3 linked regions of the Astyanax mexicanus genome follow. The protein of the gene in region 3 interacts with the protein of the main gene of each other region in a pairwise test. Links are inferred from orthologs where the notes say so. Each region holds a gene or a part of one and is shown on either strand. Other genes may lie near its edges.

Region 1 (9,929 bases), on a different chromosome or scaffold from region 3:
ATGTGCGAAATCCCTTAAAAGAACATAATAAAAGCAGAGATATATTCAGATAATTTTTTTTAAACTTAAATACTAATAGCTAATTGGACAAAGTAATCAAGATTCAAATCTCAGATCTTATTTTTGTTTGTTTATTGGATTGATTTATGTTTTCAGAGCATTTAGGAACCTTAAGCCAGTATGATCATGCTGTAAGAATGGTTAACGATTAAATTCAAAAAGTAACTGCGTCTCACTACACTAGAACTGCACTGGATTCTTCTAGAATGTGCCAGGAATGAGGAATTAAGCTTTCCCATTGGATACCTTTTTATTTCTGTTTTTAAATATTGGTTAATCTATATCTATCTAAACTGGTGTGTGATAAGCGCAAACATCAAAAGTCAAATTCTAAAAAGAAAAAAATGCCATAACAGAGATTATTTTTCTTCTTCTATTGCTTAATGTATGAAATTAGCCTGAAATATGATTCAGTTCATCCTAACCAAGATCACCACTTTTGGTCAGACAAAATTTTGGTTTACAGCACCTATCACACCATATATTTTGGTATATTTGTTATATAGCATATATGTTTAAAAGTCCAGGCCAAAACAAGGTAGTTGTGAAAGCCCCCTTAGATATACTTTAATGTCTAAAACTAGTGTCATTCTATCACAAATTATTAGATTATGCTGGACTATTAATGAATGTCTATTTTCTGTCTGCGCCTTTTTAACCAGATTAAAAGGTGCATTTTAAGTGACAATAGTAAGGAACAAGGATATCGGCATGTAGATAATCTACACAGATTTCTCTTCTGAAAATGATTTATTTGGGTAAGTAAAGCGCTTTTGTCTATTTACAGTAAGCTTAGCTTTCCAATATTTTCAACAGTGCGGTTAGCAGCAGCACTAGCCACGGTTAGCAGCGCTTAATGTTAAGGCTGCTCCAGCCTCAGTTATAGAGAACTAAACTAAAATTCCTTTATAACTCTGTACTTCAGTGAAGTGGCTTTACTGCACCTTACAACCTGGCGTGTAGAATTAATACCTAAGTGATGTCTGGCTACATATCAATGCCCACAAAAGAGTTTGTTCTTCAGTAATTTTGATGGATGGCTGTTAAACTCAGCTGCCCTCATTTTGAATTTATAATCCCATGTTTCAATGCAAATTTGTCAGTTTCCCGCCAAAAGAAGACAAGTTGAAAGTTTTGCCACGTAGGCTAATATATCTACTGTTGCTCTGTCTTAATAATGTCATTGTATTAATATATGAGTATCTCACTTGTTGATACCAAAGCTGGGCGGTCTTTGCACCAGCGCCCCAGATGTTGGTGAACAGCTCCAGGACAGACACAGACTCCCCAAAATTGTCTAGCTTCCTCAGGTGTCCGCTGTCCATGATCTCTTCAATCTTACTTGCCATTGCTTTGCCAATCCCTGGGATCTGATTTGCTTCCTGCAGGCATCACAGAAAAAAGGTAGTCTTTATTTATTTATTGAAGTAACATGGAAAAATGTTTTCAGTGATCGACACCTCAATATTCAAATCATCTTGGTTTAAGACAGAAAATTTAATTACACAACAAAATACATTGTACTAAATATTAAACAATCATTTTGCCAAGTTATCATCCTTGAGCATACTTGTTTTAGAACTTAATTTTTTAAAAAGAAGTTTGATATTGGGTCCCAATATGGGAAAATATTCAAAGCTGTGCTGCTCCACAGTGCCAGGTTATCATCCACAGTGGACAGTGCAGCAGGTGGCAGCATCTGGCTACAATTTCTGTGTATACAAAAATCAGATTCACAATCAATGCAGGGGGCCCCACTGGATATACCGCAGGTTAGGGAAGTGTCTTTTAGCTTCCATGGCATATGGCAAAAGTCATGGGACAGATTAGTAGTCCTTGTTGCATGACAGAATTCTTAGCTTCCAATGAAGTCAGACTGACCTGATATGAAGTAATAGGCTTGTGGTAGCTCTTAAGGGCATTAACAGCTTTCGAGTAGCTCAGGGCTCTCCACTTGTCCCCTGTGTGGGTGTAAGCTTTGGTCAACTGCTCCAGCTTGTCGGTGATGTGCTTGTTGTGGTTCTCGCCCTTGATTTTGGACGACTGGGCACAAACCCACTTCCCTGGCAAAGCAGGTTTTTCCAACACATTCTGGGCTTCATCTGGGGCACCCGCGCTAGACTTAACTCCACTAATCAAAGCCTCCAAGTCGTCCTGTGACACACCATCTTCCTCAAGATGTTCGTTCTGAGTGTCCGGGACCTGTGGGACACCAAGTAAAAGAATGTGGATTATATATCTCAAACATGTCAGCAGGAATTCCAGTCTAGGATCAAGTTTTATCTTTCTGTTTGTGACACTTGATAAACCAAAAAGGCAAATAAACACAAACAACTGATGGACTCTGCAGATGGAGGCAGTTTCCTCCTGTTTACCGTCTCTTCAGGGTCATCTTGGGTTATTTTAGGATCAGCCTGTGGTGCCGTTTCCTCAGAAACAGAAGTGGCACCCAGCGGACTCTTCTTTGGCTCTTCAATAGAAACATGCTGAGGACTACAAAGAAAGACACAAAAGATTTTTAGGTAGATCTACATCCTATTAAACATTACAGGAGGTTTTGACTTTCATGTCATAACCAAATATTTTGTATTTATATATTTATTTTTGTTTTTCCCCCTTCCCTCTCTCTGAGGTGTATAAAATATGCTAATGCATACTAGGGCTGTAAGATAAATCATATTTTTTAGTTCAGCATTTTCAGCTTCCATGGGACATGGCAAAAATCATGGGACTTAACAGAACAGTTTATGTCAGTGTATATGTAAAATATATCACTAACTCAGCAATACCTTTTAGATGTAAGAAGACTGTACTCTTCGGTGCTCACAAGCCTTTTCTCTGAGATGCAAGAACTGAGCCATCTGCACTTCACCAGCTCCACAGCAGATGGCAGCGTTTCAGTCTTCAGCAGCCTCAAGGCCCGCTCTTTGTCCACAGACTCATCTACAACCACATGGGTGCAGCTGGAACTGAAGATAGGCTCAACTTTGCCCCCATTCTGAACGATCTGTTGGTGGAATAGGTCACATCGAGCCTTTCCGATACCAGTGGGGATTATGTGGATGGAGACACCCTGGAACACATTTCCTGAAAGAGAAAAACAGACAGGGATGCACTTTAGAGTTGGGGATGAGATGAGGTAGTAATCATCCAACATCATGATGACTTTAATAATGCTCCTGTTGAGAGATTTCTTCTATAGCATCTTAGGGTTACTTGGTAGTTTAGACAAAACAGAACAGATTACAGTCTTACCAGTCACTGTTTGAACTGGTGTCTTCTTGGCTGGAGGTGCCTCTTTGCTTTCAGCTGGACGGTGCCTTTTCACTTTGGGAAAAGCTTTGAGAATACCATGCTTTTCCATTTCGAGCAGAGTTCCCAAAAGGGAAGCCCTACCTAAAACACAGAGACGAGAACATTTCAGTATGAAAAACACATGAAATATATTGATGATAAAAAAAAACAATTTTCAGATTATGTAAAAGCACTTTGATGTATGTTTGGTGCTAGCTATGAAAATATATAGCTACATGTGTAATATTGGATACCAGCATGGGCCCAGAATTACCACATCTGTGCATCCGTAGTAGTAGACGGATCAATATTAGTAACAGTGCAAAATTAGTATTAATTTAACTCCTTAATGTCATCTAATATTAAACCTGCATATTGTATTTTGAATTAAATTAAATTAAACATTTGAATGAGTTTACACAGTCCAAAAGTAATATGTTTCACTTTTATACAGTTGTATTATTGCAACTTTACACACAGTTTGATAGTACTCTGTTCCACTTTTACAAAAGGCTTTACAATACTTTTATAAGAGCTTGAAATATTTTATAGGGTTGGATTTGGATAATGCTTTCTTGTGTTTTTAACTTGAAAAACGTTGCTGTTAGTAAAAGCAAAAAAAATATTTTTCACATTTAGCTTTGGCTCAAATCTGTATTTCTGACTTTTAAACCAAACTGAATTGAATCTATGTAAGTTATCTGATTTTTTTTTTGCTTTTATTAACAGCAACATTTTTTAAGTTTAAAAAACACAAAACTTAGGATTTTCATTGTACATATGATAACATCAGTTTGATTTAAAAATCAGAAACACAGATTTTGGCCAGAGGTAAATCTGAAAAACAGCTAATTTCTTAAATTCTCAAGTTCAGAACATTAGCTTTTAATTCAAGTATACAAAATGCAGATTCTAATATATGTCAGCTTTTAAGCTCCATAGTTTAGAAACAACAGGAGCATTCACTGGTTTAGCAGTAGCTAGTTAGCTAACACTAATACATGTAACTACAAAGATAATACAAGTCATGTTAATTAGCTTTCAGTGGAGCTAAATGTGGGGCTGCGTCCCAAAATCCAAAATAAATGCCCCACAAGTGAAAGTTCATTCATTTCGTCACTTAGTAAAGTAGCTAGTTTAGCAGTGTGTGATTTGGGACCCAGCCCGTGTTTACAACATAGGTTAGCAACAAGGCTAGCTTCACTTTACAACAGCTATTACCCTGGCTGCTTCTAAAAACTGACCGTGCCACACCTCCCATTTCCTACCTGCCACATTTTCTTTACTTTTTCACTACAAATATGCAGTAAAACAGCAGAAACTACAGTTAAACTGCAAAAAAAAGCAATAACACAACTCACCCGTCAACACCAGCCAGCCAGCCAGCCCTTTAAAACGGTCACATCCGGGGCTCGGTCTCCAGTAGACCAATCAGATTCGCAGGTTTCAGTTTAAAAAAAAAGTTGTTGCAGCAAAAATATATATTTGCCCTTTAAGCCACATTTTATATAATAAATAATGAAATTTTGAACTTTTCCTAATTTGTGTGACTCCACATTTTTAAAGAAAAAGGTAAGATGGATTTAAAATGTACGTTTTTAGCCTTAAGTCTACTGACAATTTACCCCAAAAACGCAACGCAATGCTCTACAGTACTTCATATAAAAATGTTTAGTATTAAAAAAGCGCTATGTATTGATATTATTTTTTACTTTTGCTTAAAATAGAATAAGTAATATTTAGTATGTATATATTATTATTATTGAAAATAATAACAATATTAATATATTTAATATAATTATTAATTAATATAATTACATTTTAATTATTATAATTACAATTATATATTTTTATAATTATTAATTAATTAATATGTATTTATTGTATATTCTCTATTTTCTATGTGTGTAGTTATTATTTTTATTTTATTTTGAGTTCGCTGTGATTTTTATGTATATTTGAAAACTTCATTATTAAAACGGCAAAAAAACTGTTATTTAAAAATACAAATATTATTTGTATTTAACTGCATTTTTAACCTTATTTATTTAGTTATTGGCCTTTTTATTAGTTTTAATGTGTAATCGCTTTATATGTATTTTTGAATATTTCGTAATTAAAACTGTACAAAAAGCAAAAGCGAAAAATTTGTTAATTGAATATTGATTAATATTATATTATATTAATAATAAATACAACATTTAATATACGTGTATATAAAACGTTCTAAAAATATATTAAAAAATCTTAAAATGTTTTTTTTTGTTCCGGTAGTCTTCTCCGTTTCCATGGGAACGTTCAGCGTCCCGGAAGTTGACTACTATGTGTTTTCCATCATGGCGGTGCAGAGCTGGTCGGAGGTGCTGAGGTCTGCTAAGAAAACAGCGCTAATTTCTGATGGTAGGGCGCGTGCGCTGCTCTTTTTTGAGTAAACAGGGCTTTGCTCTCGCTCTGATCTTCTATAATAAATGTTTAGTGTGTAATAAGGTGTGTGTGAGTCAGTTAGAGGCGGTGTGTGTTGATGTGTGGATGTGTGAGTTTAACGCTGACAAAGTTCTAGAGCTTCACAGCTGCATCATCCACCAATCAGACCTGCGGTGTTTCTACTTAAATCAATTAAATGCTGTATTTTATACAGGAAAAAGGAAAGTACACTACCTGTTTACAGACGGCAGTGAGATGGCTGAAGAATACGACATGAGAACAGATGAACTTATCTGTAAGTGAAACATGCATGCTCACAAAATGCTGTAATACATTACTTCTCAATCCTGGTCCTGGAGGACAGGATAAAGCAAAGAAAAAAACTAGGGATGCACTGATTAGTGAATTCCTGGCTAATGCTGATATCCAATATGACATATGTATATATCTGCTGATACCAATGCCATTATACACATTTGAAACTTAGAGAGAGACTAGACACCAAGGTATAACTGTATAAAAATTAAGGTATTTTGCTTTACATTTTAGCTTTTAACCAACTGTAAACAAACAATAAAATGTAAAAATATAGCTATATATTATATAATATTATATACATCATATATTGTATAGATGCAATACATACAGAGTGATATATTTTAAGCATTTATTTCACAAAATTGTAGAGAAAAAATACATACACACAAAAATACTATACGTGTGTACTATATTGTATTAATATATTGTGTACAAAATTAAAATAAAGTTTGAATATAACCATTTGTACATGCTCTAATGAACTCCCCATCAAAGTTACCCACTGTATTTCCTGTGACAACGTATTTCTTAATGTTTTCTCTTTCTCAGTGCGACAGTTGCGCTCTAAAACCAAACTGGGTGGAGCAGGACAGTGGCAAGTAGAAGTCGGTGAAAGAAACCCCAGTGCTGTTCCCTCCACAGACACAGAAATCAAAGAAAGTAGCTCTAATGTAGGTTTGTCTTCCTGTTTTAATGTGACTCGTCATGCAAAATTATGCGTATGCTTTTTTTAAAAGATATTTTTGAAGGGTTCATGATTCAGTGTATGATTAAAAAGTTTTAATGTTGCTTTGTTTTGTTCTCTGCAGCCTTTGTTTATACGTAAAGACACGAAGGCCAGTTTCCAGTGGAGAGTTCGCAACATCCCGTACCCCGTAGACACTTATAGTGTTTCAGTGGAGCCTGCTGAACGATGCTGCATCATCCGGACCACGAACAAAAAGTAACTCCAGTCAGATGATAATACTAGGTGTTTAAATGTTTGTGGACACCCCTTCTAATAATTGTCCTATGGCTTTTAAAGGTTAGAGGGGTATAAAGCTTAACCAGCACTGAGCTGTGGATCAGTGGAAGATGATAGTTGGGGATGATAAGCTGAGGTGGTGACCATCAATCCAGCATCCTCACCTCAGAAACTCTTGCTTTTGTCACTAAATGCACTCAAATCCTCACAGCAGTCCTCCCTTTTCAAAGGAGAGTAGAGACAGTTTCTCCAGTTAAAGCAGGATAAAGTCATTTTTAATACCCTTAATTTAGGAAGAAACAAAAAAATGAACAGGTGTCCCAACACTTTTGTTCATATAATGTATCTCATCAATTTTCACAAAGAAAGATTTATCAGAGAGTCATATAATTTAATAATAAAATGGGATGGATCCTTTAAGCTAAACGTTCAGATTTCTCACTGGTCATTCTTGTCTATTGAACACTGGCAACGCATGGGGCTCTGGGGCCAACTTTTAGACCCCTCCTGGTTCCATCACTGACCCTGATGAGCATACATATTTGGAGCCAGCATGGAACCCATAGACAGACTGTGTAGTCCCAGTTGGGCCACCCATACAGACCCCACATGGCCTTTGTTGTCAAATTCTACTCTATTAAACACCGACCTTATTATTAGTATTGTTCATTCTACACTCCCTTCTGCTAAGTGTCTTCCTGTAGGTGGCACTGTTGGCTCAAGATAAGGTTTAAGGGCTCCCCCCTATTGGTTTAAACAAACCAATAATCAAGTAGGCTCATTAATTAAGCATGTTAAGGTAAAAGTACTGATCTAAGATCACCTCTCATCAGCTGTCTAATAGAAGTCTTTAACTTTAATTGATCCTGGATCTGCATTCTTACTCTGAGATGTTTGATAAATATGGCCCCACTGTACTAAGAACATTCTTATTTTTCTTAGTTTTTAAACTGCAGAATTGTTCCTAGATCTGATCTTATAATCTGGTTACAAGGATCCCATTGTTCTCATAATTTGACCAAATCCCAAATAAAAAAAATCTTAGGAATGCTATCACACTAAATATTTTTTTTGATGACCTATTGTTTTATAAGTAATTGGAAACTAAAAGAAATTTTAGTTGTTTTAATTTTGTTGTTTTAGTAAACAACATTTTTGCTATTATTTTAAAACTATTTTATGGCCCAGATATAAGGATAATACAATAATATAATGCATTAACAGCCTTTTATAAAGCAATGCACTTCTATATACTGTTATACTGTAAGATAAGGACAGTAACATATATATCATGACAGCCCTATTGGTGAATCTCTGAGTGTGCATGAGAAAAGTGTTATTAAAGGAGAAATCAGGTGTGAAATGAACTTGGGGTGTAGTGAAACATGATGGTGAGTACAAACTTTTGTTGAATAGCCCACCTCTGTTTACCCTTCACATTCTGAAATACAGCGATTTAAGCCGATGCTTCCAACAGGCTTACAATGCTAGTGATGGGGGCATAGCGCCTATAAATAAATTGCTATTTTTACACCATTAACAACAAGCTCAAAGCACCCTTTATTAATGGAGTTCTAAGGCATTGGCCCTAAGAACTTTGAAATTAAGCAACAGCTGGAATTCATGCATTTCTACTGAATTAATTTTGCAATCTGTTCCCCTATCCGTCTTATTTATTTGTGATCATGCTTTCAAAGTTCTCAGTGCCTCGTTTTAAACGTCAGGGTGTCTACCTGTGAAGTATGGAGCTACTTTGAGCTTGTTAATGGTGTAAAAATAGACATTTCTTTGCATGTAAGTCATTGTAAGTCTGTTGGGAGCATCGGCTAAAAGCACTGTATTTTGGAATGCTTGGGAAGAATAAAAGTGGGCTATTTAATGAAAGTCCGTACATGTTATCATGTTTTACAAAACCTGAAGTAGATTTTATAAAGGTCTTCTCCTTTAAGTGGGTGGTGAATAAGGCCTTTTCTGCTTTATTCTTCCCTTCATTTCCCAGGTACTATAAGAAGTTCAGTATTCCAGACCTCGACCGCTGTCAGCTGCCTCTGGAGAGCGCAGCCTTGAGCTTCAGCCATGCTAACAACACTTTAATCATCAGTGTAAGTTAAAGGCCCTTACCTTAGGGGCTGCTCACTTAATCACCGTTACTGCTTTCAATGTAGATCTGTCCTGCTCTGCTGTTGACAAACTGGCCTAAGACCAGATCAGATTATGCGGAACAGTTTCCGTTTGGTTAAATGATTATACACTCACCGCCGATAGTTGCAAAAATAGTTGCACCCAGAAGGAAGTGGCGGAGTGTAATGATATTCAGAAGGAAGATGAAGGCAACCAGGAACAGTAAATGATTAAATATTTCGGGTGAATGACTGGACAACTCCTGGTTATATTTATTGAGCAACACATATAGAAGTAGTGTGTAATGCATGAGACGTAATGGTGTCTCATGATAATCCATGACATGCAATATATAATATATATTCTCATGCAGATTTTTCACTAGGGTTTTTTTAGGGAGTGTTAGAGTTGTTGATAGTACATCTTATCACAGCATCTCACACATTTTAATCAGGAATAGGTCTGGGAATGCAGCTAAAAGTGTCTGTGACTAAACATAGCAGCAGCATGTGGATGAGCATTGTCCTGTTAAAATAGTGGGATAGATATAGTTGGTTGCAAGACATTATTAACTTTACATTTGGCTGTCAAAGCAGGGAAGAACAGTTTTTTTTTGGCATCATACAAAATTGCACACCACACACCACACGACACCAGGCCTTCTGGACATGTGAAGTGTTGAGCTTGGTGCCTCCACACATAAATTTTTGCTTCATTCTGAGTGCAACACATACATTTTGACAATGTA
Region 2 (10,559 bases), on a different chromosome or scaffold from region 3:
AGCATAGCTTTTAAACAGGTTAAATTAAAATTTAATTCAAATTGAAAAATAAATAAATGTAACTAAAGCATGTACCTTTTATCAGGGGCTGCTCTGGAGATGTTTCTATCGTGCTGTCTCTCTTTCCTCCTGTCATGACGAATCTCATCACGCTCTCTGGCTTCACCATCCTCACCACCTGCCAGCAGAGGGAATGTGTGCGTGACAAAGTCTCATGCCATTCAATTTGCCACACAATTATACAGAAGGTCCTGCTGATTTTTGTTTGGGGCATTAGGACTTTCCTTAAAATCACAGACAGGTACTGTTTATTAGCAGTATTAACACGAATTTAACTGGCCACAGTGAAAGCTTTCTTAATTGGTCATTAAATTAAATTAAATGATTGCTAGTTACTTATATAAAGTAAAATACATTAACAAATAGTCCAATGTTCCCATCAAACTGGTGCATCTGAACTGACTGAATCAAATCAGATACAGCCCTGTTGTACATAGCAACAAACAACTGTATGGATCACAATACAAGCAATGTTGCTTTAAAAAAAAAAAAACAAAAAAAAAAAGTTTACAGATAAAATTAGTTGCTAGACGCTTTCTCTTAACATTCAAAATGATTTTATTTAGTAAAAACATACAGATCCAGAATGGAAACAAATATTGGATTCACTCCAACGTAACGGCTGCCTCACTTAAGGTGGAACAGAAAACCTGGAAAATGCTAGCAAGCTAAGTACTAGGTAAATGCTAATTACAACTTTATGTAGTTTTAACAAAACAAGAAAAAAAAGAAAGCAAGTTTTGTTCCTGTCTTGTTTATGCAACAATTAGTTCAACAACATGCATTTTAAAAAGTGAAGTGGTTTTCTGCTCACCTTAAAGCCACAGCTGTAGTTTAGCAAGTTTTAAACTAAACTAAACAAATTTGCAACATTTTACATAAAAAGGTGACATGTGGGCTGTTATGCTTTTAGTCATTAACAGTAGGGCAAAAAAGTTTGATAAGCCCTGGTAAAAAAAAAAGGTCAATTTAAAGATAGCAACGAAAGCTCATTTTTATCAAGACATTCGTGTTTACGAAATTAGCGTATTTGACCCAAGCACCAATTATTGATAAACACCACAATACCTTTTTCTCCATGGCCTTTGATCCCTGCTCTTCTGTCTCGCGCCATCTTCGCAAGCTCCCTAAGCTTCTCCTCCTTCTTTTCTTTTTCCTTCTGTGCCATCTTCTTTTCCACCTGGGCGCGCATCTCCACTGCTTCTCTGGCCTGAAAGCATAATAAGGAATGAAAGCATGAAAAGAATGAAGACTGACACTTTGGATCATCAAACTTTCCTAAGCACTAAAAAGAATGTTCTTTCATTGGAGTCAAACGAATGCTCTAAATGGGCAAAAGTATTGATATCTACAGTCTCAGTTTGTATTATATTTTATTTCAATTCACAGGAAATAATAGGGAGTAAGCTACCTAAAGATTTTGGACAATGTTGAGATTTCTTTGTGCACTAGAGGAACAGTGATGTAAAAACAGAAGAGGGTCTTAACTGTTTTTACAAAGTTGGAATAATACTATATTTATCGCACTATTAGGCGCACTTAAAATCCTTTAACTTTTCAAAAAATTGACAGTGCGCTTTTTAATCTAGTACATATGAATTTTACCAGTCAGGCTGTAAGGAGCCACTCAGCCAAATTACAGTGTTATTCAGAAGTTCAGTTTAGTTCTCCTGCACTGGGGCTTGAGTAGCATTAGCATTAGTTGCTAACCTCCATTTCCCTGTCTCGAGGTGTGTATTATCTCAGTAACTAAGCTTACTGTAAATGAACAAAAGCTCTTTACTTTTTTTTTTTTTATAAAGTTTTGTATCCTTAGCTTAACTTAATTAGCTACAACCCACCACCACCCAGCTGCGAGACCTGCTGAAGTAGAAGTTCCTTATAGTGTCTTTTAAAATGTACCTTATAATCTGGTGTGCCTTGTGTAAGAAAATAAACGCTAATTAATGTGCCTCATAATACAGTGCGCCTTAAAGTGAGCAAAAAACGGTACTGATAAAAAAGAAAAGAAAAAAGAAACGGCATCATTCCTCCTATTAAACTATTACAGTATAGAAAGTATGTGAGTCATAATCCCCAAAATCAACAACAATTGTTCATCACTTAGTCCTTATTGTCCACCTGTATTTTTTTTTGACAAATATAGATAGATTACCTTTCTATCTGCAATGTAGAGAGCTTCAGCTAACTTTGCAAAGTTCTCATTAATATGAACTGTCTGAAGACCTCTTCCATCAGCAGCAAGACGTTTATCCAGTGGGATTGTGTAACCCTGAAAAACAATAATGAACATTTATTTTGCCATTCAGAAAGACAACAGAGTTAAAGGTAGATAATTGTAAAGGCAGACAACAAAAATCTGCTGAAACCTTTGCGTTCTTCCAGTTGGAAATGCATGGAGGAATCTTCCACTCCTGTTGTTCTTTCACCGTCATCTGAGACAATAAGAAAGTTAATTAATAAAAATTTAAAAATGTATCCCATGTAATGAGCAAATATGATGCTGATTAAATTATGGTACTCACCTTTCTACTGGGAGAGTGCATAACTGGAGCAGGAGGAGAGGGAGGTCCACGAGGAATTTTCTTATTAATTCTATTCAAACAGACATATGCAAGACACCTTACATACTATTCCTGATCTTTATTCAGTTAGCAAGTAGTTAGAAATTACTTACTGGTACTATACACTAGCCCATAACTTTTTACATTTAAAATGTACACAGTAACATAGTTCACCACTGTGGGTCCTGTGACGTACTTAAAACGTGGGGGTTCCATTGGATCTTTTTGCATCTCCACCATACGGATGACCCTTTGCTTGGCCCCCGAGTTGAATGCTACTCCCTGCTGAGAAGGTGTGTACCTGTTGCAAAGAAATAATAAGTTACAGAATATCTAGGTTGAACCACACAATTGACACCACAGTAAAACATACTTGTGAGGTTTGAATATTACCGTATGTACTGTGCTGGTGCCTGTTTATCTGCTGCACGTACAGGCATTGCTGCAGCAATTTTCTGGGAAACCTGCTTGTCCAAAGCAGCTCTGGTCTTCTCTGTAAGCTGAAATAAAAGAAATACATTTGAATATATGTTACATTTTCATTAAAGAAATAAATTTCAAAACCTTAAAATCTTACTGAAAAATAAGGTTTAACAACATTACAGCAAAAGTACTAACAAGGAAATTACAGTCATCCCCCAATTAAAATTCAAGAACATTATTTTTAATTAAAACCAAAAACCAAACCAAAATTCATTATAATCAATTATTACTGCATTATTATCCACTGACAACCTGTAAATGCTTACAAACAACCACTAACATATCTCACCTCTTTAATGGCCTCTTCATCTGGTCTCTGTAACTCTGGGGCATCATCATTGAGCACTTCTTTAGGAAGCAAATCTGTGTATTTACTGAATATAACCTGTTGAAATTACACAAGGTGTGAGCATACATTTTATAATATGATAAACAATTCTAAACTGTTCTAACATAAGATGTACCTTATCCTTTCCTTGGCTTTGTCGAGCAATTGCATCATACTTTATTTTGCCCTCAGCATCCACCTGTACAGCAAGGGCATTGGATGTCTTCTTTTTTCTGCCCATCTCCAGTGGATACTGAGCCACGTGGATCTCAGGGAATGCACCACCATCTCCAAAATCCTTTAAAATAAATGGTAATTTTAATATGTTTTTATAGTACAAAATGAAAAGTACTACATCACAAACTATTTGAACTCATTTAATTTAATATGTTACAAGCAGATAAACACAGACACACCTCAATACTGCGGGGAACCCATCCTTTTCGAGAACCATAGGGAGGTGGTTCTCTTCGAGTGAGCATCAGAGATGTGGACTGGGACCTCTGAGCTCTGGTCCTCTCTTCTGACTCAAGCTGGTCCTGGGACAGCTGAGTGGGCGCGGGTAAAAAACTGTAAAACAAAGCATATCTACATTAAAAATACAATACCAATCTATCTATTAACAGTCCAATAATGTTCAACTGAGTACACTTATGGTAAAACATGACTGTGTGCTGGTATAACTGGCATAAACTGACAAAACACTCAATGTAAGTGTAATGTAATATATATTTTACACTTACATTGAGTGTTTTGTCAGTTTATCCCGAGAGAGACAGACAGACAGACAGACAGACAGACAGAGAGACAGACAGATCGCTGAACACCGTTTTGGCTGGACGGATATCTACAGTAAGACTAGCTTTAGCTAGCCTAGCGTGCAGTAACTGTTATGTTTCTGTACACAGTTCTAATCTGATATCTACATTTTAACTATAGCTAATAAACAAACGACAGCCTTGATTACAGCTTAATCTACCCGTGGGTTCATGACCGGGGAAGAAAGTGCGTTAGCGTTAGCTTGCTAAGCTAGTTAGCCCTGTAGCTAACTGGCTAAAGCTAGCGGATAAAATAACAACTAACTTAGGCCTTTCAGCCAAAAACGGATTGCAGTAGAGAACCAGAACACCCCCACAGACACAGTTCTGTGAGTAACCCGCCGACAGTGCTAACAACAGGGTAACAAAGCTAACCGGCTCCAGAGTGACTCACCTGGCCAGAGACATGTTTTCTCTCTTTGTGAAAAGCTTCAGCTCAAGACTGGAGACTCTCAGCGCAGACCTTTCTCCCCCGAGCTCCAGCTCCCTGCTAAAGTCTCGCGTTATTAAAACACGTCAAAATAAAAGTCCACACCAACACCACGCAATCTCTCCAGAGGCGAGTCTCTCACCCAGGGGGCGCTATAACATCAGCATCTGCTATCTCGGTAAAGTTAGTTTCATTTTTCGGCGCTAATAAATTTTAAACGGAGGGTGAGATCCATCTGATCCAGATGATACTTACATAATCAGGGCAGTAGGACCACTGAGACAGACGCACATCATTCATTTTACTGTTTCGGGAAAATGTGCGCAACGCCTTTTAGCGTTAATACCGAAAACTGAGATAATATGCATGTAGTTCTAGACCACCTCTGCATCTGTAAACACTCATTCATTTACCTCCAAATCACTTCAGTGCCTAAACATGCCAATGTTCTCATATAAGAATAAATGGCTTTAAGAAAAAAAACACACCAATAGCTTCATATCCTTTAGGATTTATACACATCAAAATAACGGGAATGTTCACTTTAAATCATGGGGAAAACTGCACACCCATTAACATTATGCAAAATGCTTACAACTCCCTCATATATTATATTTTATATGTTCACGAATTCAATAGCATTTCAGAAACTGTGTATGACAGCTGGGTGGAAGCAAACACTTTGCTTGTGGTTGTCCATCGAATCCGAGGATGACGTCCATCTCTGTCTTCTAGCGGTGAGTTTTCTGAACAGTCCAACATGGATCCACAGATTCTATTGCATAGTGTTTGTTTGGCTGCCAACCATTGGTGTGTCTCTCCAGAGCACTCTTTGTTGTCTTCTTTGTTGTCTTCTGGCTGTCTATTCCTCCTCCAGTGTTTGGGTTCCAACTAGGCACAGCTGCCACCAGGTGTTGCGATCAGCAGCCATATCTTCCAGATCTCCAGGTTTGATTTTACACCTTTTAAGAGCCATTTTCATTTGGTATTTAAAGCGTTCTTCTGGCTTCCTGCAAGACAAATTATATTTTGGATACAGTGCCAATTGCACTGTATATAACATTTTATATATTTTAGAATTTTAGAGAGAGTGCGCATTTCTAGCGCAGAAAAACGGGCCAAAGAGTCTAAAAGCGGAGAGAGTGCGCATTTCTAGCGCAGAAAAACGGGGCAAAGAGTCTAAAAGTGGAGAGAGTGCGCATTTCTAGCGCAGAAAAACGAGGCCAATGAGTCTAAAAGTTGCCGTAATTAAGGAGTTTAACATTAGGAGACATCATGAAATTAAACATCAATTTGAAAAATCTTAGTTTACACAACACTGTCAAAGATAAAGATAGTAAGCCAAGTAAAATGGTGTGTAAATGAAATAATCAGGAAAAAAGTATTATTTAAAGTGGTATATTTCATTATTTGTTTTATTACAGAGTGTGGCCCTTGACTTCAAATATATTTCTCCTTCTGGCCCCCAGCAAAAAGTTTGGACACCCCTGGTGTAGGGTACTCCAATCAAAAGTGTTGCAGTACTGAATACTACGTACTGGGCAGTGTGCAGTATGCAGTACATACTAGTGCAGTATGCAGTATGCAGTATAGTAGTATGCCATTCCGAATACAGCCCAAGACTCAGTCAGAGGAACCCATCCTACTCGGGTTGACCTGCTCAGTACAAACAAATAACAGAACAAAACAACAGTACAGAGAATTAATGTGAACTTTAGCTAAAATAAAAGGTACTAATTTATGAATATAAAAATGTGATAAGCACAAATTATAGAGCTATGGCCAATACAGAAACAGATACTGAGTGTGTTAATGTTAATCAGTGCAGGGCTGCAGAGCCGGAGTAGAACACAGCGGGCAGTGGAGAGCCAGGATGGGAACAACAGGAACAGGGCATCTCCATACATTTAAAAGAAATAGAAAACAGAAAGGAAAGAAAGAGAAAAAATCAGGAGTTAGAAGGGTTGTGTAATAATTCTGATGAGTAGAAGGACATGGCTGATTCTGGAAAACTGGAACCACAAACGGACACATCCAGGCAGACCGGCCGGGCATCTCAGCACATGTGAGAGAGATAGAGAGAGAGAACAGAGAGGGGAGGGAAGAAAAAGGGGTTAGAATGGTTTTTAAAACTCAGCAGCTCAGGACATGGGGAGAGAAAGAGAAAGCAGATGATTAGGACAGGGTTTATATTTGCTGGATAAGCTGTAAGAGGAAGAAAATTGTAATGAGACATTACTCAAAAGCTTGAGCAAATAGAAATGTTTTGAGTCTAGATTTAAAGATTGAGAGTGTGTCTGAGTCCCGTATATTAATAGGGAGGCTATTCCAAAGTTGGGGAGCTTTATAAAAAAAAGCTCTTCCTCCTGGATAGTTTTTTCTAATGCGCGGGACTAATAACAGGCCAGCGCCTTGGGAGCGGAGTGAACGCGGCGGATTGTAAGGAGTAAGAAGTTCCTGCAAATAATGCGGGGCCAGACCATTGAGGGATTTATACGTCAGGAGGAGTATTTTATAATCTATACGAAATTTAACAGGTAGCCAGTGTAGGGATGAAAGAATAGGTAATATGATCAACCTTTCTGGTTCTAGTAAGCACTCTCGCGGCTGCATTCTGAACTAGCTGGAGTTTATGAAGTAATTTATGTGGACTTCCAGCCAACAGTGCGTGTTTCAGTAGTCCAGCCTCGAGGTTATGAATGCATGCTTCAGCTTCTCAGCATCTTCCAGAGAGAGTATACTGCCTACTGATGTTTTTACCCAGCGGTAACATGTAAAGAGTAATGGACACAGTATTGATCCCTGAGGGACACCATATTTTACTCTAGACTGATAAGAGCATTCTTTATTTAAATAAACACACTGGAATCGATCTCTCAGATAAGATCTGAACCAGGTAAGGGCAGATCCTTTAATTCCTATAAGATTTTCTAACCTATCAAGCAGAATAGCGTGATCTATGGTGTCAAAAGCATCACTAAGATCTAGCAGTACAAGTATAGCAGTACTGCCCCTATCAAGAGCTGAAAGTAAATCATTAGTTACTCTAAGTAAAGCTGTTTCACAATTTTTTCTAGGATTTTGGCTACAAAAGGAAGATAGAATTTGGTCTATAATTAGCAAGCTCACTGGGGTCCAGATTTGGTTTTTTGATAATGGGCTTAATGACCGCCAATTTTAGAGAATTGGGTACGTAGCCCATGCTAAGAGATGAATTTACTATTTCTAGTAATGCCCACCTTTGGCAGTGCCTGTTTAAGTATCTGTGAGGGTACTGGATCTAATATGCACGCTTTTGATGAGTTAATTACACTAAGTAAATATTTTTCTGTAACCAGGCTGAAATACTCTAGGTGTGCCTCAGAGCTGGAGCAGCATTCATTAATATCTATAGGTACATTTTGGGAGTAATACTGAATTTTTTGTCTAATGTTATTAATTTTATCATCAAAGAACTTCATGAAATCATTACTATTAATGTTGGCTGGGGTAACGGAGCTAGTTTGTTTTTGACTGCCGGTAAGTTTAGCCACAGTAGTGAAAAGAAATCTAGGGTTGTCTCTGTTTTTCTCAATAAGCGCTGAGATATACTGGGATTTTGTTTTAATTAGGGCTTTTTTGTAGTCTGTGAGACTATGCTGCCATGCGAGCTGGAAAAATCCCTAATTTGTTTATTTTTGTTGGCTCTACATGATCCAGGTTAGAGCGGAGCACAGTTTGTAAGTTTTCTGTTATGTGCTCGAGATCATGTTCATGGGACGGAAGGGAGATAGTTAAGTCAGGGGGTTTATTTACAAAATCACTAGCAATTGAGGTTGTTATTTTACGCTTGCTGATATAGCGGGGTGGGAGGAGGATATTTTGATTAAAAACTATTTCAAACATAATTAAATAATGATCGGATATCGAGTCATGTTGAGAAAGAGTAACTGTATTCTCAGCCTCGATACCCAGTGTCAAAACTAAGTCTAATGAATGACTACATCGGTGAGTGGGGCCAATTACATTTTGTTTGAAACCTAGAGCATCTAAAACTGATTTAAATGCAATTTTAGTGGATCCTGATCCTTTTCAAAGTGGATATTAAAGTCTCCAACAATTACGACCTTATCAGAAAGAAGAGTTACTGCTGCTAGAAAGTCATCAAATTCACGGATAAAATTTGAAGAGGACGATACAGTGTTATTAGCAGGAACAAATGCTGTGTTTTGGAAGCAGGAGATGGGCCTGATACTTTAAGACTAAGAACTTCAAACGACTTAGCATCCAATTCTGAGTTTTGAGTTATACCTAACATTGAGTTATAAATTGTGGCAACACCACCGCCACGACCAGAGCTGCGTGGGTAACTAAAATAGCTAAAACCTGGGGGGGTAAACATAGACATAGTGCACACAGACATAGTGCAGTAAGGTGATTATCAGTAATAATATCATTAACAATTACTGATTTTGGTGCTAGCGATCTTATATTTAATAGCCCTAGTTTAATACGGACGCTGCTGGTACTCTGAGAGACGGATGCTGTTGTTTTAATTTTAATAAGATTATTAAAACAGATTTTCTGACTTTTTCGATTTCGAGCGACACATGGGACACAGTCTCAATCCTACACAGTAAAAATGCACTTGTATCAGAAAAAGGCACATAATTGTAACTCACGGCCTTATGAACAGGAAAGTGGCAAGATAAATCATCAGAAGAATGTATATTACTAAACTGCCCATTACTTAGACCACTAACCTGGCCGGTATGACTGGTTAGAGCCAGTCAGTCCCGGCATAGCACCGCCTCAATGTTTCCAGAGAGGACGGCGGATCCCAGGCGGCTGGGGTGAGGCCCCATATCCTTCATATTTATGATTTAGTGCTAAATCTGTTGCATATTCAATTTTATAAGTTTTAAAATGTAATAGCATTTATACTGCATTACGATGAACAATAAAAACAACTGTCTATGATACAGCTTGGTGGCAGCAAACATGCACACTCTTTATTTGGATACCTGGATAACTGTAAATTCAGACAGAAAAGTAGACATGGATTTATGAATAAAGGTTGAACAGTCATGTTTTTACTGTTTGTTTCTAAATTGTACTGTTTATCCACATCATCAAGGTAATTTTTAAACATTATTCCCTATTTTATAAGTGTGAATTCTTGTTATTTATTAATATTTTGAAGAGAGGCAGATATATGAGGCAAATGTTTGAAAAACTGTGTTTATAAATTACAGAACAGTCTAAAAAATGGTTAATCAAATCTTAATGTTTATACATTATTTTAAATAAAATATGAAGGTTCTTGTAAACTTATAGTAATATTCTGAGTATTATAAAAAAGAGATCCTAGAAGGCACACCTTATTATCAGGGGGTTTAAATGTTTTTTTGTCTAATTTGCATTAACTCTGATATGAGTTAAACTGTGGCTTGTCTATTAAAAGAACATGTCTAGAGTTCCAGGTCTCCGTGCTAACCTAAGCTCTGGTCAGAATGTTTTTCTCATGAACTCATTCACTACTCATTATATATCTTTGATTATGTCACTCTGACACAACACCACCATACTGCACTATGGTATATATTGCATATTGTAGCGTACATTGTCTGTACATTACATTTAGTGATGTATTATGGGTGTTTGATAGTGAAGTATATAGGGAATAAAATGTAATGCTGAGATTTTAAAGAGCAATACAAAATGGCTGACACAATAAATAGGGCTAAACAGATGTAGTTTAATCATTACAATAAGAAAAAAAATTGTAGCCAGAAGACATGTAACACCGTAACATAATCATAATGCTCACATCATATAACAATAGAAAATTTGAAACAAATTCCATTTAAATGGTCATTTCTTTTGACTGTTTGTAA
Region 3 (10,324 bases):
GAGCACTCTAATCAAATGGAGACACACACAAACAACAGAAGAAGGAATCAGACTAGGCCAGTACTGACAGTGTTCGTTTCCTACTTATTCTGGAAAATGTGACACACGTACCTGGAGGATGTCCTGCTCTGTGAGTTCAATCAGCAGTTTGAGGTTGTGTTCAAGCTCTGGCAGAGCAAAAGTGGTGCTCTTCTGCTCTCGCGCAACCACACTCAGCGGAGCCTCCTCAGGAACGCTGTGCTTCTGACTCATCTGACTGTAGCTGTAGTACACCTTCTGCTCCCTACCAGTCATATCTATCACCTTCAGATTGACAGACATACAGACAGACCACAAGAAAAGTTACAAAGTCATCAATATGTCTCAGAAAAATTTAACTTTTGTCTTTTAAATCTATGGTGTAAATAACCTACACCATGTTAGGGGTGGAACAAAACATTGATAAATCGCATCATTTCGCGTATATCATATCGATACATTGCATAAAATATTAATATTTTTATTGAATCATAGGCGCTCTAAATTCCTTCTGCTCCCTTCCAGTCATATCTGTCACCTTCAGACAGACAGACAGGTGCTTAAGAAAAAACTTATGCATTCCTTAAACTTCAAGACACAAAGGAATATTATACTAGTATTATAATATTAACAAAAAACACTATACAGATATGCTCCATCAAATGATCAAATCATACAAAAAGACTTCAACTTTAGGGGTCGTGAATAGGTTAATTAATAATATAACAATGAATGTAGATAAAATATGGGTTATATTTCTTAAATATAGAGGAAACCCAGGAGCAAAACATACAAATTATTGGATAATATTGCTCTGAAATTGGTACGCTTATAATGTACAATAGAGAAATATGTATGGTGGTATTATAGGCTGACAATAGAAATAATTTGTTAAAAAGCATTTTGGACACAGCCTGGGTATACAGGTTACGACAAAGATTTATGAAGATTAAAAGATAATCTGGCACTTTAATGTTGTTTAAAACTGCCAACAGGTTAGTATAGCCTCACCTTGACCTGGGCAAGTTCTCCAGCAGGTTTGCTCATGCTCTTACTGGTGAGTTTCCCATGAGCCTTAAGCTCATCCACAGTTTTGTAGGAATATTTGGGCTTTTTCTTCCCTGATACTGGATCTCTACGCCACTGACCCAACTCCCTTTGAAATTCCTGTAGAAATATAGAGAGCAAATGATTAGTTTATCAAATGTGTCTGGTCCCAAAAAGTTACCTTGAAGGTTAATTTGGGATCTAAAAGAAAAGAAATTTTTTTTTCCTCATTCATGAGGTCAAATGTGTGTCATTTTGCATCTTTGACTCACATTCTCTTCTTCCTCTTCAGAGTCTACCACAGGGAAATCTTGCAGGGACTGCTGGGTCCTCTCATTCCCATAAGCCCCCACTGCTCCTTTGCCCTTTCGCACTTTAGCCTCAATTGGGTTTACAATACCTGTAAAGACATTCACTCATCAGAACACATAAACATATCTGAATAAAACCCAGAATTAGCCTTCACAGACAAAGATACTCTACCCTGTGCGTTTTTTCCAAGGCCTTTGCCCGGGACGTAGCCCATCTTCTGCAGAAGCTTCTGACCGATGCCTCTTGTATGCTTCTCCCAGCTTCCGATATCCTGCCCTGGTCGGATATTTCCAGCAAATGTCTTATGGGAAGTCTTAAAGTTCCCACCCTGGAGGATGTAAACCAAATGAATAGTTACAATGAAATCTATAAGTCTTAGAAAAGCTAAATAATATTGGCACAAGGCATTAAATATCAATATTTTTCCTGAAACATAGACATTGTAAACCCCCCAAATTTGACTTAATAAGGTTACTGCTTCATTACTCCACGTGGTGGCACTAATCAAATAAACAGGTTAAAAAATAATGGTTGTCAAAATCTGGGAAACTGACACCAATAAATCTATAATCCAAATCATCCAATCATTTCTGGTCTTTACCTTTTTTTTTTTTAAATAAATTTTAAATCTTCTTTAGTAATCCAGATGCTTTGAAATATCATAGAGAATTGTCTTGCGATATCATGGGCAACGTATGTATACCCAATTGTGTTGAAATATGTATCTTACAAAAAAGCATGATCGTAAATGAGACATTAGACCCAAATTGCCAGATTATATTCAGTGAAATTAGCTGTGAATGCTAGAATACCCACAAAGCAAAATGAAATGGCAAAAAAACAGCATTACAAATGTAAGTATTTTGCACTACCGTCTGAAGCTTTTTGGGTGCAGTAGCACGGGGTGGTGGTGGTGCTGCTGCTTCTTCATTCTCGTCTGAATCATCAGAGCCCTGCTGCTGTTGTTGTTTCTCTTCAGCTGCAGTCTTCCTCAGGCCAGCACTTATAAAGTTCACAGGGGCTGAGTAGTCCTTCGATCTACACAGTTTTTCACATATGGAGCAAAATTAGAATCTTCTCAGTGGCAAAAACAGAAGCAAACCATCCTAATGCTAATTGTTTTAGTTAGTAACTGACTTCAGTTATTGCTTATAGAAAGGTTAAAAGTGGTGGTTCTGGAAATAGGGAATTGGTAAATTATATATTCAATGAAAGAATAGAATGGGTCTAAACTGAAGGTAATAAATATTCCTACCATATTAACATCATCATAATAAATATATTAAGGATCATCAGGGTTTAAAGTACTCTGACCCAACTTTACATTTAATTACAAGGGGTGTAAATATCCTGTTTAATTGGATGATGTGCAGCAGAAGAGGTTTAAAACATTGTGATAAATATTGTGTCAGGAAAATATCTGTATTGTGTTATATTGAGATAAAATACTTTTACCATATTGCCCAGCTCAATCTGTGCATGATTAAATACACCCCAGGTGGTGACTTGTATACTGTTAAAATCTATTAAAGGTTTTATATCTCATTGACCAAAACATGACATATCACAATATAAATTTTGGTCATATCAAGCCCTCTGAGCATAAATGTTCACATTTTACATTTAGAGAGGGTGATGACAGATTTGCTATGTAAATCTTCACATTTTTCACACTGTTTATAGCAAACATTATGTATTAGCAAACCAATAAGTGTTTTCCTGAGTGTGGTATCAGAAAAAAAACAACCTCTAACCATAAATTAATTTTAGAAATTAAAGTAATGTTTGGGTACCTCTTGCCTCCAAAGCTGGGTCTTTCATCATCAGAATCATGTTCAGCCCATATTCCGTAAGTAGCCTCCTCTTTGGTCTGTCTGTGCCGACGTCTATCTGGATTAAACTCATTGGCCAAGTCCCATTCAGACACCTCAAACTTCTCAATCTCGACCCCATCCTCCTCTTCCTCTCCTCCTCTACGCCCATACAGATGGGACATAGACATTATTCTGCAGGAATTAAAATAGCACATACAATGAATGGCATTCAGTCGACTGGGCAATGTGACAGTACTGTTTTTTTTCTGAGCATACCATAGATATTATAGAACATTAACTAAAACGTCTTTTATTTTGATATTTTTTTGTGTTTTTACGTTTATGACATATCTCCCACTCATATAGATAATCTGCTAAACCACCAGCTAGATACGTCTCTACAGTTAATCAGAGAAAAACACATATCATTAGCTAGCTACACACTAACAGACAAAATTTGCACAATCAATAGATGAACTTCATCACAAGCTAGTTTCTGTGTTTCTCACTAGGGCACAACAGCAGCACAATAGTTGCTGAAAGTGGCAGTCAGAAAGCACAAGCCAAAAGTTTGGACACACTCTCATTTAATGTTTTTCTTTATAATTTCTTTCAGCAAGTATTGCTTGTTTAACACTTTTTGTTGACAAAATAATTGCACATGTTGCTGTTCCTGTACAGACTTACTGTCTTTAATATGAAATTTACAATGTAAAAAAAATAACATAAAAAGAAAAGAAAACACATTCAATGAGAAGTCCAAGCGTTTGATTGGTACTCTGTACCCATTTAATTCATCTGTTAGTTAAACATTTGGACACATTCCATTAGCAGGCTAGCTAGCTACTGACTAATAGAAACAATTAGCTACTAAATTAACAAACGAAAACTACATGAAAGAGGTTAAACCTACCTATTTTTGAGTAAGGCACAACTGCAGCACAAGAGTTACTGGGATATTATGTTAGAACCACTCAGCTTATTTACTAACTAGTTAGCTAAACTAGCTAAGCTAACTAGCTAACCTAGCTAGACTGAAGGGGAGGCTTTTTGTTTATAAAAGAGATAGCTAGCTAACTAACTAGCTTATTTATATTTACACAGCTGTTATTCACCCTAGAGGTCGTTAATCCTTACGGCAACCCGTTAATACGTCTAAATAGTATCTAATTCGGTGTGTGGACCCAGGTTAGCTAAATGAGCTAGCTAGCTTCACATTAGCTTGGTTAGCCAGCTAGCTAACCCACAACAACAGCGTTATAGTAACGTTAGCCCAAAGTTAGCGAATGCTAGCTAATCTCGCTAGCTAGGCCTACTGTTTGTGTATTACCCATCCACCAACAGAGACCGTTAGGTTAAATAATTTAATTTAAATCAGGAAAACGAGCACCAGCAGCAGCAGCACTCACCTGTCTGTGTATAGCGCTAAGCAGACAGCGCTAATCTTCAGCTATAAACTGCGCAGCTCCTTCCTGTCGGCCTGTCTCTGTACAGGAAGCGCGGTGTGTATGTCACAGTGACGCAGAGGTCAGAAACCCTCTCTCACAGCCATCTTGGACCCCGAGCCCAGACCTAGTAAGTGTTCCTTCTTTCAATCTTGTGGCATCCGAGCTTTCTACGCTTGCTTGCTTTGCCAGAACCGGCTAGAATCGTTGGGTAAAAGCTCTTCTCGGATAAGGGCTGAGTATTGGCCCGTTTCGCGTCTCCAAATATTAGATATTGTGGTTCAATGCTGCCGGCAGACTCTTCAAAATGGGGGAGCTGAGGCAGCGCCTTCTGTCTGGCTGGGCTGGAACATGACAGTTGTGTTTTTTAGTAATATAGTTAGTTATATATGTATATAGGCTTTTCTTAATGATTTTTAGTGAAGCTAAAATTCTTTAGAGTGTTTAGTGAGTGAGAGAGCCGGTTCGTAAGGTTGGCCAGCCAGCTAGCTAATGAACACTAAGGTCTGGGCTGCCTGTGAACTGGAGAGCTAGCGGTTAGCTAACTAGATAGGTAGCAGCGCTTCAGGTCTTGCTAGCATGTTCATGGAGAACATTTTAGATAGCTAAGCTAGCTAGTCACGTTGGCACATGGAAATGTATGTGTAGTATTTCGTTTTTTACAGTACCTAACGCTCTATAGTTCCTTTAGTACGTTAGCTAGATTAGCCTGAGTAGCCCAACGTTATTTAAAAGGCCAAAATAGTTAGCTAAACATGACTTAAAGCCCTTTCCCCAAGCACTTTAATACATAGGGTAGCTACTAGATCGTTAGCTAGCTTAGCTAACTAGATAGTTCGTAGTTTGGACTGACCTTAGGTAACTAGTTAGTCATGTTTTAATTAGCTAACTTACCAACGTTGTTACATTTACTTTTTAACCCTCAAGAGCTCAGACCCACTTCTAATTATTGAATTCAGAAATATATTCAGAAAAAATCATGTGAGTAGCTCATTCGATTATGTTGTCACTATGAGCACATGACTTCAAATATTTTAAGGTTAAAATCCTGAAAACACAAATGATTAAACAATTTCATAACCTGTATCCTAACAGTTTCTAGAGTTTGTGTTAGAACAAGTTAGCCAACTATACGGCTCTGGTAAAAATAGCAGAAAATGAGAAATGGCTGAAATAACAAAAAAAAATATGCAGAGCTCCCAGACCTCAAATAATGCAAAGAAAACAAGTTCATTTTCATAAAGTTAAGAGTTCAGGAATCTATATTTGGTGAAATAACCCTGGTTTTCAATATCCGTTTTCATGTATGTTCTCCTTCACCAGTCTTACACACTGCTTTTGGATAAATGTATGCCACTCCTGGTGCACAATTTAAAGCAGTTCAACTTCGTTTGATGGCTTGTGATTATTTCTTACTCTCTATTATATTCCAGAGATTTACAATTTGGTAAAATCCAAAAAAACTTTTTTAAGTGGTCTCTTTTTTTTTTCTAGAGCTGTATATATTCTAAAACGTCGAGTTAAAGCATTTTAAATTGTTAACTTAAATGGTGTAACAGCTGCAAGCTAAAAATCTACTTTTAAAAAGAGCTAGTTTTATCTTCAGCACATAACCCAAATAAGGTCAGATTCACACACACACACACACACTGTCCTGTAATGAACTTAATTACAAAGTTCAGTCACTTAGCAACTACACTTGGTTAAAATGACAGAATGCTGTAGGGAGATTTACACATCTTTTAAATGGTTTGTGACACAGCTACTTCATCATATGCTCTTTTGGGTTAACACATCTACTCTGGTTTTTAGTAGGCCTCTCACCAATGTTTTGGACAATATAACAGCTGTAGTCCCAGAAAATACTGCTAAAACTGCAATAGTTATTCCAAGCCATGTGTAATGCTACTGATTTAACCATAATGAAGCATTACACATTACATTCTACAGAGCACCGGACTTCTATTCTTAATGTTTGTTTACATATCCTAAATATATTAAACATCATTAATGTAAAACTCTTTCACATTAATGGGTTCTTCCTGCTAGCTAAGTAAACGCAGGGGGCAATACTAAGGTCAGCAAATATATTACGAGGTTATGTCAATATACAAATAAATACGTAAACCACTAGAGCTTTTGAGAATTGGCTTGTTAAAATAATGATTCAGCAAAAATGGGCAAGGATCACACCTAATGCTGTTCTTTTCCCACATGTATTTAGTTGAATTACTTGAGTGTCTGATCTTTGAAAATTTGCTTATAATATGACAACACTTGATGGTCAACTCAAGACATATATTCGATTATATCGATATATCGATTTGCATAATATTGGTCTTAAAGATATAATTTATTTCCCCCAAACCCTGCACTATTTGTTAACCATTGGTTCAGTTTAGTACAGCTTGTGTTAAAGAAATTTGTAACTTTTTAATCATTTAACTGATTTTAACTTAATTAAACTCTTGTTTACTGATTGTGTGAGTAAAGTTGAAAAAGTTTGCTCTTTATTTATGTATTTTTATTTTTTTTGTAGACAACAATGCCAGGCGAAGCCACAGAAACTGTCCCAGTGACAGAGCAGGAGATGCAGCAGCCCCAGGTGGAGACGGGTATGTAGTGCTCATTTATAGTAGATTGTAGACTAACCTCTGTGTTTAGGGGTCTTGGAGCTCATTTGCTGTAGATTGATTGATTTAAAAAAAATCCTGATGGCAGTAAGTTAAAGCTTTTCCTCTTAAGGTATTTACAACTAACTATGTCTGACACTTGGTCTTTTTTAACTCCTTGTCACCAGCTGTTGTGGACATTATTTGTGCAGCAGGTTTGACTGGTGGGTGGGGGGTGGTGTCGGGTTTTGTTGAACGGAGAATGCAAGTTTGGTTGGGTTAAGATGGCCGACCAAACCTTGTCAAATTTAGACTGAAAGGGATTATTTTTAAATTGAGTTCATCCAAGACCTCCTTTTCCAGAAAGCAAAATAGTTGCCTGCGATGCCTGTTGTTTTTATGACCACGAGGCATTGTGGTAGTGTTTTAAAGCACGTGTTCACTGTTGTTTTTGTGCATGGGATTTGGATAAGTCAACTGTGCATGAATCATTGTTCTATGGAATGTCAGTTTCTAACCCCTACACACTAAGGCCGGACTCCTGGTTGACCCTGGTCATAGAATATTTTTTTCTTTTGATGGAGAATCTCCATTCAGAATACTCTGTGGTCTAAGATAGGCTTCATCTCTGTCTGAGACTACTTAAAAAAATATTTTGTTTGGAAGCTACTCATTGATTTTCTTCTTTTACATTGTACGTAGCTTGTTCTTGATTTTAGGGTTTTTACACACTTAATAGTGAGTGTTTTACTGAAGCTGTGTTAAAACTTTAAAATCTTGAGTGTTCTTTTGGGTAGATCATTTGTTTTATGTATTGTGTAGTCGGTATACCTACAAAAACCATATCCCTTTTTTTAAGGAGCACAGTGTGAAATAATTTAGTCATACTGAAAGGGAGAATAGTCAAGTTTTATAGCTACATTGATAGCTTCAGTATTGGTTTAGTTCAGTTCATCCTTTTTTATGTAACCTTTTTTTGTTTTATTTTTTTCTCTTTTCTCCCTGAAAACAAACCTTGTACAAGTAATTCTGTTGGATTCTCGACTCAAACCCTACAACTTTGACTGCATATTGCATCTGCTTTAGAAAGGGAATGGTTGATGAATAGCCACTGACGAGAGATCTGTTTAATAAAAAAAATGCTGTGTGGTTACCCAAGCTAGAGGTCATTTCAGCAGTACTTAAATGTGGTAAAATGTACTTTTAGGAGCAACATGTTACTTGTTCTTTTTATAAAGCTGTTTTGGTTGACTTCTTGTCTTAAAGACCTTTCTTGTAGCATCACATATGGTACTAGCAGGTGTTGGACTTTCACCATTCTTAACTGTGGGCACTGCATGGTAGAAGTTGGACATGTTGGGCACTGTTGGCAAACTTCACCTTCCTCCACACACATTTTTTGAGTGGTATATGGGCACCAACTAATGTTTCACTGACAAGCCATTGTAAGCGTGTAAATAAATATACATATAGTTTTGTTAAATGTGTTTTCTGTGGATAGAAAACATTAATCACTTTCTGTTGCATATATAAGATTCTGTGTACAACTGGTCACTTCATCAGACTAGTATCTGGATTGTATCCTGTAAGATTTTAGCCACCAGAATTGTGTTTACACTTAGTCTGACCTTATGTGGCTATAATCCTGATACTCAAGTAATGCTGGGCGGTATACTGGTTCGTATGGTACACCGGAGAGAGATTTTGAAACAGTATGTTTTTTTTTTTTTCTCATACCATTTTCTCTTTACCACTAGAGGTGCTCCGGAGCTCTGTTTATATATGTAGAAGAAGCACAGTAACCTCAGCTCAGTCTCACGCTGGTTTGCCTAAAGAAACATGAGATTAGAACTCCTGCAGCCTCTGCTGTTATTTCTTGCAATATGAGTAACTAAAGCTGTGTTTAAATACATTAATTAATACTGTAGCTTAAAGGATAATATTAATGCACACCGGACTTAATTCATTTGTCAACTGGAGAACTAGGGGAATTATGATAAACTAATAAACAGCTCCTTAAATACTGTAATGTCTCTGATGGCTTCAATAATAACACACTGTAAATTGATAAACTTGTGTTTTACTTGTGCAATAGAGCTTTTGAGAAATATCTCCTATATACTTACATTGAGTATTTTAGGTTCATTTATAGGTTATGGAACTATTTAAGATATTTAGTTTGGTAAAAGATGTGTTAGTTGTTCTCTTTTTAAAGTCTGTTGTTTAAACTCTTCAGCTGTTATTTTAATAAAGTCTGATTTCTTAATATATTCTGTAATTTTGAGACAAAGTAAACCCAATAGTAATCAAAGTACTTCTGTACTTTATTTTAAGCCCAGTCATGAAACTATAAGTAATAAAAAAAATTAGTCATATACTGTGAAACCATCAGAATCTTGCAAAATACCCTGATAAGCATTTTTGTTCATACCACCCAGCACTATACTCAAGGAACATGCTGTGACCAGGTGTAAATTGGTGAGGTCTAATAAATAATAAAAAATATGCAACAGAATATCTTGGAGAGATTTCTTAAGCTGCTGTTGACCCTTTCACTGTGACTGCCCTTCCTCCTTTCTTATACTTTCTACTTTCCTCGATCCTCTCCACCCTCTTAGCTCCTGGGGTGGTAAACACGCCTGCCTGTTCTGAGGCAGCAGTTCCAGAATTTCCCAAGCCTACTCCAGTGGAGAGTGCTGTTCCTGAGGCCTCTATCACAAAGGCTGAGGTTGTAGCACAATCTGTGGAAGAACCAGCACCTAAAGTAGAAAACATTCAGTCCAATAGTGAAGCGCCAACCTTTGCTACTGAGGAACAGGATGAAACTAAGCTTGTTACTGCTAGTGAAGACTCTGAAGAACCAGAAGCACCTGCCCAAGACGCTCTTGTTAAAAGTCAAGAAGATCTTGTTGAAGACGTGAAAGAAGCTCTGGTGGAACCTACAGCCCAAGTACCAGAAGTTACTACTGATGAACAGCCTGTGATTGCTGAAATATTATCTGCAGAACCTGCAGTTGAGGAGAGTTTAGCCACTGGAGATGTGGTAGATGGTGTGTTTGTTTCTCCACAAAACATT

What was found.
Region 1: the proteins of tfip11 (region 3) and poll interact in binary tests that used the Homo sapiens proteins (3 or more experiments, as listed by UniProt). The two-hybrid records come from large-scale screens. The link is inferred for Astyanax mexicanus from reciprocal best matches to the Homo sapiens genes TFIP11 and POLL.
Region 2: the proteins of tfip11 (region 3) and snw1 interact in binary tests that used the Homo sapiens proteins (3 or more experiments, as listed by UniProt). The link is inferred for Astyanax mexicanus from reciprocal best matches to the Homo sapiens genes TFIP11 and SNW1.

Annotation. Positions count from the first base shown.
Region 1 is NC_064428.1:27,908,549-27,918,477, forward strand, and holds the start of poll (DNA polymerase lambda), read right to left. Parts: upstream 4,802-9,929; 5' UTR 4,716-4,801; intron 3,457-4,715; 5' UTR 3,425-3,456; coding exon 3,316-3,424; intron 3,148-3,315; coding exon 2,850-3,147; intron 2,554-2,849; coding exon 2,436-2,553; intron 2,263-2,435; coding exon 1,942-2,262; intron 1,443-1,941; coding exon 1,269-1,442; intron 14-1,268; coding exon 1-13. Other genes in the region: protein DPCD, read left to right, coding at 5,643-5,754, 5,993-6,073, 6,646-6,767, 6,906-7,039, 9,060-9,162.
Region 2 is NC_064408.1:54,939,598-54,950,156, forward strand, and holds the start of snw1 (SNW domain-containing protein 1), read right to left. Parts: upstream 4,802-10,559; 5' UTR 4,662-4,801; coding exon 4,648-4,661; intron 4,006-4,647; coding exon 3,852-4,005; intron 3,734-3,851; coding exon 3,572-3,733; intron 3,493-3,571; coding exon 3,397-3,492; intron 3,125-3,396; coding exon 3,018-3,124; intron 2,926-3,017; coding exon 2,821-2,925; intron 2,656-2,820; coding exon 2,586-2,655; intron 2,496-2,585; coding exon 2,430-2,495; intron 2,333-2,429; coding exon 2,216-2,332; intron 1,271-2,215; coding exon 1,129-1,270; intron 179-1,128; coding exon 76-178; intron 1-75. UniProt on the Homo sapiens protein: Involved in pre-mRNA splicing as component of the spliceosome. As a component of the minor spliceosome, involved in the splicing of U12-type introns in pre-mRNAs.
Region 3 is NC_064420.1:33,028,194-33,038,517, forward strand, and holds the start of tfip11 (tuftelin-interacting protein 11), read right to left. Parts: upstream 4,691-10,324; 5' UTR 4,601-4,690; intron 3,384-4,600; 5' UTR 3,380-3,383; coding exon 3,171-3,379; intron 2,416-3,170; coding exon 2,250-2,415; intron 1,706-2,249; coding exon 1,549-1,705; intron 1,466-1,548; coding exon 1,338-1,465; intron 1,186-1,337; coding exon 1,030-1,185; intron 304-1,029; coding exon 112-303; intron 8-111; coding exon 1-7. Other genes in the region: naca (nascent polypeptide-associated complex subunit alpha), read left to right, coding at 7,182-7,251, 9,867-10,324. UniProt on the Homo sapiens protein: Involved in pre-mRNA splicing, specifically in spliceosome disassembly during late-stage splicing events. Intron turnover seems to proceed through reactions in two lariat-intron associated complexes termed Intron Large (IL) and Intron Small (IS).